2 linked regions of the Coturnix japonica genome follow. The protein of the gene in region 2 interacts with the protein of the main gene of each other region in a biochemical or structural test. Links are inferred from orthologs where the notes say so. Each region holds a gene or a part of one and is shown on either strand. Other genes may lie near its edges. The genes, in order: CRYBA1 and CRYAB.

Region 1 (4,374 bases), on a different chromosome or scaffold from region 2:
GTGGGCTCCCTCCTCCTGCAGCCTGCCTTGTGCTTTGGGGGGTCCGTGAGACCCCCGCTCCCATCCCTGCCTTTCTTGTTCCTCCCTTGAGCACTCCTTCCTCAGGAGTGTCGGGATGGCAGGAACTCACAGCCTGGGGTGCCAGTAGGGTGCCATGCCAGTAGGGTGTGGACCTGCCCCTAGCTATGGGGCTGCCCTCCACCCACTGTGCCAATGGGGCCATGTCACCCTCTGGGCACCTCTCCTGCCACTGGGCAGAGGAAGGGCTGCGCCAGGCAGCAACGGGGCGAGCGGGGCTGGGATGGGGCAGGCCAACCCCAGGACTCACCTAGCTCAGGCGGTACAGCTGCTTCGCCCATGTCATGTCTGCCTACTTCAGCGGCTCAGCTTTTATAGGGTGCTGCTGGCCCGGAGCCGGTGCCAGCGTTTGCAGAGCAGTCAGCACAATGCTCCCACTGGCATTGTCCTGCTGATCCCCGGAGATTTCAGCAGCTCATCCCCATGGTCCGGGCTACATTCTTGGTTGGGGGGTAAAAAAAAAGAAAAGGAAAATAAAAAGATCATAACAAAAATAATCGGGAACGGCTGTTTGTACAGATAATCTTGGGAGTGAATGACTCAACAGTTTGACGCTTCTGGCATTTTCCAGGGGCAATGCAGCGCCGTCACGGGGCTGGCCTGGCCCGGGGGGGCAGGTGGGAAGCAGCATGGCACCGTCTGGGGTCCCCCTGCCCTGTGTGTTGTGTGGGCAGCGAGGACACCATGATGTGGCTGAATCCTCCAGCCCTCCTCACACCACAGCAGGATGTGGGGCAGTGGTGGGAGCTGCTGCGGGGCCTCCTGGTCTCCATTGCTCATTCCCTGGGCCCATAGATGATGCCAAGCCTGTGAGGGCACGGGGCTGCCATGGGCCTCAGAGGTGCTAGGCCTCACAGTAACCATGGCAACGAGGCCTACCTGGGCCTGAAACCCCACAGTAACCATGGCAAAGAGGCCCACCTAGGCCTAAAGCCCCATAGTAACTATGGCAAAGAGGCCTAGCTACCCCTGAAGCCCCATAGTAACTATGGCAATGAGGCCTACCTGGCCCTGAAGCCCTATATTAACTATGACAGTGAGGCCTAGCTAGGCCCAAAGCCTCACAGTAACCATGGCAAACAGGCCCTGCTCCCCTTTCCAGCCATCCAGGGGCACCATGGTGGGCACAGGCCCGGACTGCCATGGCTGCTGGTGCTGGGAGGCAGCGTGGCAGTGAGGACTGCTGCTGCCTCAGCTCATGGCCGCCAGCACAAAGCGCCGCCCGCGTCTGACTGCCCCTTTTGTCTGCTCGGCACAAAACAAAGCGCCCTGTCAGCGCGGAACGCAGCCCGGCCTGGCGCGAGGCCTGCGGGGATCCAGCAGGGCTGGGATGGTGCCTGCAGGGAGATGGGGTGCCATTACTTTTAGGGGCAGCATTGGGGTGCTGTGTGGCCCCTTGTATTTAATGGGGTCAGGGTGGTAGAGCGGAACTGTGGGGATGAGATCTGAGTGTGACGAGGCCACTGATGGCGGTGTGGGGGTTGTCCTGCTGCTCCCAAAGGGGTCACCATAGGGGTGCAGAGCACAGCATGGCCGCAGCACCCCACAGCCCCCATGCATGCCCTGCGTACAACCCCACAGGGCTGGCTATCCAGGAGCTGGGTGCCACTAGAGGGAGAGCTCACCCTGCAGCCGGCATATGAGAATAAATATACAGGGCTGGACGGCAGCGTGCAGCCACACTGCAAACAGCCCATGGGCACAGCCTGCAGCGGGCAGCCAGCCCCAAACAACACCTCTGCCTGTTCCACAGCCTCACCCAGTGCTGCTCAGGGATCCACCATCATCCCACTCACACTGTGACCCTCATGGCTGAGGACAGTGGGAAGAACGGCGGTGAGAGCACCTGGGGATCCACCAGCACCAGCAGCACGTTGCCAGGTCCGCCGGCAGTCTGGAACAACTGGTTTTTCTAGATCCTGGAGCCTATAAAAAAAGCAGTGACCTATTTAGCAAAGCCCCGTGGTGCTGTGGAACAGATGCCTCCCCCCAGCCCAGCGCAGGGCCATTGCTCCTTGGAATGCCGTGCAGTGCAGGATTTGCCAATGGCTGGCACAGCCCCGTGCTTGGAGGAAGCTGCTGGCATCCAGTGGGATCTTGCATGTGTGTGCTGGGCTGCAGGCCGTGTTCCGTGGCCGTGCAGAGGTGTGTGATGCTCCGGGAGCCCCTGCACACTATGAGAAGGGCCACATTGCTGTCCCTGTGGCTGTCTATGGGGTGGTCCCTGCTCCCTCACAGCTCTCACAGTGCTCAGGATGGGCCACGTGGGGGGTTTTTTGCAGCCTTTTTGGGCTTGGGCTGTGCTTAAACCCCACTGACACGAGTGGGAGGGCACAGCAAAGGCTCGTGGTTTGCTGCGGGGCCTCCAGCTCCATCCTTGTGCCCACATGGGGATGCTGACCCTCCCCTTGCAGGCTCACAGCTCCGCTCCTTGCTGCTCCCTTCCTAAACGGAGCATCTCAGCTGCACCCTGTATGTGCATCAATGCGGGTGTGCGTGCAACCCACTGCGCTCACCGGGAGGGGGAACGGAGGGGGGTGTGTGTTCAACCCGCGTTGTGAACAGGTGCGTGCCCTGCAGGGTGCCCCCAATGTGTGCACAACCAGCGGGTGGAGGCGGGCACCGGGCTGTGCGCGTTACCGGTCACCACGGACACCCACCCGCAGCCCCGCAGTCCGTTGTATCCCGTTCCATCCCGTTGCATCCCGTTCCGTTCCATCCCGTTCCGTTCCGTTCCGTTCGGGGCCGCACCCGGAGCAGCGGGCGGCGCGCGCAGAGCCGGCAGTGCCCGCCCCGGTGCGGAGCCGCCCCGCCCCGCCCCGCGCCGCCGCCGCCGCCGCCGCCGGGGCCCGGCACCGCCGCCCCGCACCGCCCCGCCCCGCATCGCACCGCCACGGCCGGGCCCCGCTCCGCCGCCACCGCCGGGTGAGTGAGCGCCCGCCGCACCCGCCGCCTCCTGCACCGGCACCGGCACCGGGGCGGAGCCGCCGCTCCTGCACCCCCCGCACGGGCCGGGCCGCAGCGCTGTGCGCGTGTGCGCGCGTCCCCGCGTGCGCGTTTCCTCCCCCCGCGCTGCGAATGCTGCGTCCCCCCCCATCCCAAACCCACCCTGTGGGGCACCGCACCCCGCACCCCGCCGGGCTGTGACCCGCAGGGGGGGCTGCTGTGTCCCCAGTGGGTGCCCGTGCCGTGGGTGCGCACCCCCCCGGCCTGCCACCAACCCCCCCCCGGCCGCACCGTTACGGAATGACATTGTAAAGCCGTTCGCCCATCTCTATAGCATTGGGAGGGGGCTGCGGGCTGCCCGAGGGGCGCTTTGGGTAGAGCATGGGGCCGGAGGGGCTGTGGCTGCAGCGGGGTTTGTCCCCGTGTTATTTTGCCTGGGGTGCAGCATACAGAGCGAGTGAGGGCTGGCAGGACGCGTGTCCAGGAGCGGTGCGGTTTGCAGCCGGCAAAGCCTGAGATGCAAATCGTTTGGTCACCCGGTACCGCAGCTGCGCTCAGGGCGAGCACTGAAAAACGTGGGCTCAGGACATGGCCCAGGCCTTGTGCCCACGGGGTCCCTCGGTGTTGGGGGGGATGGACCCACCCCCTGCCCTGGGCTGAGCCAGGTGTAAGTGCTGTGCTGCTGCTGGACTTTGCCCTGTGACGAGCTGCAGCTGAGCCCTGTGCTGTGGGCTGGGCCCTGCTGGGGGGCACATTGCAAAGCAGGGCTGTGCTGCAAAGTGAGGGCAGCACACAAACCATGCAATGGCTCGTGCTGCCGGTGACCTCGTTGCATGGTGCATCCCAGAGCCTGGACCCTCCTTCCCACAGCACCGGGCAGTGGGGTTTTGTAAGGACCAGGTTGTGCAGTTGTGCTGCTTTGGTGCCAGGTTCACCCACCCCGTGGTGATGCATTGGAGCTCTCAGGCACTGGGCTGTGTTTGCCGTCAAGCTGTGACTTCTGTCGCTGTCTTCTTGCATGGGAAGCCCCCAAAATCCCGCTTCAGACAAAGGCTGGTAGCACGCTGTCCTGATGCATCCAATGGTGTCCACAAGGCAGCGTGCAGACGTTGGAAAGCCCCTAAATCTCCTCGGTGTGCGGAAATCCTGTGCTGGCATCCACCAAGGAGGCTGGGAGCCATCGCCATCCCCAAACTGAACACGAGTGGAGCACGGGGACCCCAAAGGGCCGCCACAAATGGGCTCCCACCGACAGCACGGGGCAGGCAGCAAACTGGTGCTGCAGGTCCCTGCGTTGGGAGCACGTCGGGCGAGATTGCGTGGAGGGGAGTGGCCCCGAGTTGCAGTGGG
Region 2 (4,365 bases):
TTTATTATGAGATTGCCTTTGTAAAAATCTGAGAAGAGCTGAAGTGAGATTACCCTGCCCCTGCAGGTGGTGCAGGCACCCTTTGCAGGATGAGGCTTTCTCCTCCAGCTCTTGTGTCTGCCAGCTTCGTTTCACAGTGTTGTGCTGTCATGGCTAAGATGCAGGAGTTACAGCTACCTGCAGAACCAGCAGCTCCTCCTCCTGAGGGTCTCCAGGGCCCACAGCATATGCAGCTCCCCAGTGAGCTCATCTCAGCTCTAGCTCTGGATTCATTTCTTAGCCAAAACAAACAAAAAACAAACAAACAAAAAAAACCCCGCAGAAGCTATTTCAGAATTACAGGCTTCCAGTGTCTATGAGTAGTGCTGCATTTGACTGACAGATCTGGGCACCCAGAAGTTTTGGAGCTGATGGGTACAATGATACAGGTACTTTAGGATTTGTTTCCTTCTTGCAAGGATAGGAGGATAGGTAATCCCTGTTACATACAGCTTTGGACGTGGCTTTTGGCCTCTCTTTGACCTTTTGCCACAGAGCCAGTAAGCAATGGGATGGCTGACAGCAGAGTACAGCCTTTAAGGACTGTAAGTTGGTAAATGGGTATTTTTTCAAGAAGAGATAGCTTCTTGCTAATGGAACATGGCAATGCATTCATTCGTTATGCGGTTTAATTATTACAGCTCATTGTTAACTTATTGAATGCTTCTCTGCATTCCTGTCCTCTTCCAGAAAGAGGGAGGCCCGGAAATGCTTATTTCAAAGTTGATTTTCCAGTTCAGTTCACAGTTCATGCAATACCAGCACTAAATCTCCACTCTGCTGCTGCCCAGTCTGGGATCAGCTGGGGGTTTGCATAGAGCATCTTCCATTAGGACTGGTTGATCAAAAACACTGGAAGTGTTTCAGAAGAGCACAGAGGAGGATTGTTCTGCAGCTTCCTTGTTTAACCATAGGTGAAGAAGCACACATTGGTTAACAGTGACACAGAAGTACCTGGCGCTCCTCGTGTTTCCCATGAATTTCTATCATGTCCCCAATCACCTTCACTTTTAGCTCCTCGGGGGAGAAATGCTTCACATCAAGATTTACAGAAAATTTGTCTTTCTCCAGTCGCATCTGTAAAACAAGGAGACGACTTCAGGCAGAGGTTTCAGCTTCATCAGACTCTCAACATGCAGCAAGTCACGCTCACGCTGGGCTCCCCACACGCACTGTCTGACCTCCTGTTTTCAGTCCTGGGGTTCTCATCTGGCTCTTGCTAGCCTGTTCCATTCATGCCCACCACTACAGCACATAAAACATGATGCTTTCTCTCTGGATAAACAGAGAATAGATATTTTCTGGGAAATAAGAAAGAGACTTTCTCAATCTGAATTTGTTAAAACTGACTCCTATCTACTTTTTCTGAGGTGTCTGGAGATTTCCAGTCTCTGCAGCTGGATTTTGCTAAGTCTTTCTGGAAAAAGAAACAGAGTGTGCAGCTGGCTGCAGCTCATCTGTGTCACTTGCAGGCTTTCCCCTGCGTCGTCACTCTTTAAAAACAAAAATAGCGTGTCTCAGCTGAGCAGCACTACCAGCTCACCCCTCTTATCTGAGCAGCAGGGCTACTGCTGAAACTCTGAGTCACCTGCTGCTCATCTTGCATCCTTACCTTCCATTCTGCACTTTATCATCTCCAGCAAATGCTGCTTTTTGCTTGCTCCTGAGGTTGAATTTGCATTTTCTGCCTGTCTTGGATAAGTCAGTGGGACACGGCAATGCAGGCTGGCTGTCTCTGCCTTCCTGCTGCAGTCACAGTCAGGGAAAACGCGAGCCTCCTGCAGCTCTGTTTTGGGACATGGAGGCAGCTTCCATGCCAGTTCTAGCTTTCTGGTTACTGGTTTCCTCAGTTTTACCTGGAGGGCTTCCTGCTCCTTTTGCTAGATTACTGTGAAGATTTCTCCACTGAAAAAGTCAGATGTTGATGTTGTTACCTGTGGTGCTTATTATGGCTGCTTCAGCATATGACCAGACCAGGTGACTAAACCAAGGGAAACATTAAGCAAAGATTAAGAAAATACTTCCCTCTCACTCCACTGGCTTTGAGTAACTCTTTAAGTTATTTGCACATTGGCATCTGACCTGCATGCTGAGCAAAGTCATTTGAGCTGCGTGCCTCAGCCCCCGAAGCAGATGGCCATTTAAAGGTCCTCCCATCCCATATCTCTCTGAAAACACTGCTCTGCCTGGCAGAGATGCTTTAGCTTGGGCCTTTCTACTCAGCATCTGGGGGCTCCCATGCTGCCTGGCACGGGGTCCCACTGCCCCTCTGCTTCTCAGGAGGACGCAGAATGTAAAATTTTTCAGGGCAGACAGAGAAATCAGGCTTCCTCCTTTCTCTTGCTGGCTTCTACAGTCATTCACAGCACACACACAGCTCAGTTTGTCTCTGTGCCCATGGCTGTGGCAATATTTGCTCTCAGTTACAAGTGATTAGCAGAGAGTGCAGAGGTCCTTGCCTAACACCAAGGAGCAGAGGCAAGAACTCAGCACTCTTTTCCTCATAATAGATTTCCTATTAACTACCTACAAGCAGTGTCCCAGCTCTCCCGGGTCCCCAGCTCCAGACCCGTCAGGATGTGCACCTAGTGGTAACAAGAAACAGTAAGCAAGGAAGATTACCTCTGAGAGTCCCGTCTCCAGCCAACTGGGCATCCGAAAGAAGGGGGATCTCATCAGGAAGGGGCTGAAGCTGGGGGACGTAGGGAGCAGCTCTGACTCCTGCAGGTGCTCTCCAAATAGCTGGTCAAAGATACGGCTCGGTGTTAACCAAGAAAACAGAGGTCTGCGGATCAGGGGGTTGTGAATGGTGATATCCATCGGAGTGCGACAGAGGAGCCAAGCAAACAACTGCTGCGGTGCTGTGCCCAGCACAGGGGGCAGCTTTATACCCGTGCGGCTGGCGGGGCCTCTCCCCCCGAGGCCTCTCAAATAGTGGTGTCAGGGATTTTATTGTCCCAGTCCGGGACTGGTCCCTTCAGCAGTGCCCAGGAGCGTCCGGGGGTTTGAACAGACTGCTAAGGAGGAGGGGGAAGGGGAGAAGAAGGACACTAATGGGACAGCAAGAAGCCAAGCTGCCCAGCCACCCTCTCTGCACCCCACGTGCTGTTTATCTGTTGAGTCCCAGGCAGGCTTGGCGGATGTTCCCAGCTGCTTTGGATGCCAGCAGGATCAATGCAGCTCCTATCTTTGGTTCACATGGAAAAGGACAAGGGACTGTTGTTCCCAGTGACGGCACCAAGGCTACAGTTCCCCACTGCACCCACGCGCCAAGGAAGGGCTCTGCCTTCCCTTAAAGTGAAGGAAGCCCCAGGCCTTAATGAGAGGGCAACATGGACCCCAAAAGGTCTGTGCTGAGGTACCCTGGTGTGCAGCTCTGCAGCCTGGTGAGCACCATACCTGAGCACCTGCTGGTGTGTGCACACTAAGGATGGTTTCCACAGAGCATCAGCTGACAACTCTTGTCCTTTGCCCACTCGAGAAATCGCTCTGCTGGAGAGGGCAGAAGAGCCCAGCACCCTGTGAGCAGAGATAAAGCAGGCACACAGCAGCCCTGCAGAGCTGCACCACTGCTTGCCTTCTCTGGGATGCAAACTACCTTGATCTGCCTGTGCCCAGCAGCTATCAGTTCAGATCATGAGGCTGGGTTCAGCCCAGCAGCTGTCCTTTAAGGACAAGAGCTCTGATTATCTGCAACTTAAATACAGACTTCTGGCTTGAGGGCACATGATTCTCACTGCTAGCACCACCGGTCCCCTGCAAAAGGGCTCGACTCTCTTCCTGTTCACTTGCCTGCAAGATTAGGGTGTAGAATTCTCTCTGCAGAAGCCCCAGCCATAAATACTTTATCCAGTTCCATGTTACGTCAGCAGTAGTGCACCTGCTCTCTCGCACTGCAGAGACATGGAAATCTCTGGTTTCAGAGTACAAGGAGCTTAAATGGGTACTAACACCCAGTTTAGTAAAAGTGGATCTAGGCCAGTTTCAGACTCTGGTTAATGCACCACCTCCAGCACAGGCATTTCTCTGGTCCCACTGAGCAGCACTGAAGCCCTGGCCAAGGCACAGCCTGGTCAGCTGGCTCACAGTGGCACAGTTCTGGAGTGTCAGCATCATGGTCTGCACCCTGTTCAGTGCCACTTAGCGGTCTGCAGCACCTTACCACTCCCAGGAACAAAAGACTCAGCTTCTGGGGGAAACAGATCCCTTTCTGTGGGGTTGATATGAGCGATAAACTCACAGCGATGACTTTGCATGACTGCACACAACCTGACCAAGCATCAGCCACCATTAGGCATAGCCCTGTGCCCTGCTGGGTTGGCAGGG

Evidence for each region.
Region 1: the proteins of CRYAB (region 2) and CRYBA1 form a complex in vitro, tested with the Homo sapiens proteins (2 studies listed by BioGRID and IntAct, with this or other methods). The link is inferred for Coturnix japonica from reciprocal best matches to the Homo sapiens genes CRYAB and CRYBA1.

The regions. Positions count from the first base shown.
Region 1 is NC_029534.1:4,739,862-4,744,235, reverse strand, and holds the start of CRYBA1 (beta-crystallin A3), read right to left. Parts: upstream 2,839-4,374; 5' UTR 2,739-2,838; intron 2,716-2,738; exon of another isoform or gene 2,595-2,715; intron 2,005-2,594; 5' UTR 1,838-2,004; intron 1,076-1,837; exon of another isoform or gene 519-1,075; 5' UTR 360-518; coding exon 329-359; intron 1-328. UniProt on the Homo sapiens protein: Crystallins are the dominant structural components of the vertebrate eye lens.
Region 2 is NC_029539.1:5,449,422-5,453,786, reverse strand, and holds the start of CRYAB (alpha-crystallin B chain), read right to left. Parts: upstream 3,063-4,365; 5' UTR 2,860-3,062; coding exon 2,662-2,859; intron 2,586-2,661; exon of another isoform or gene 1,652-2,585; intron 1,117-1,651; coding exon 994-1,116; intron 1-993. UniProt on the Homo sapiens protein: May contribute to the transparency and refractive index of the lens. Has chaperone-like activity, preventing aggregation of various proteins under a wide range of stress conditions.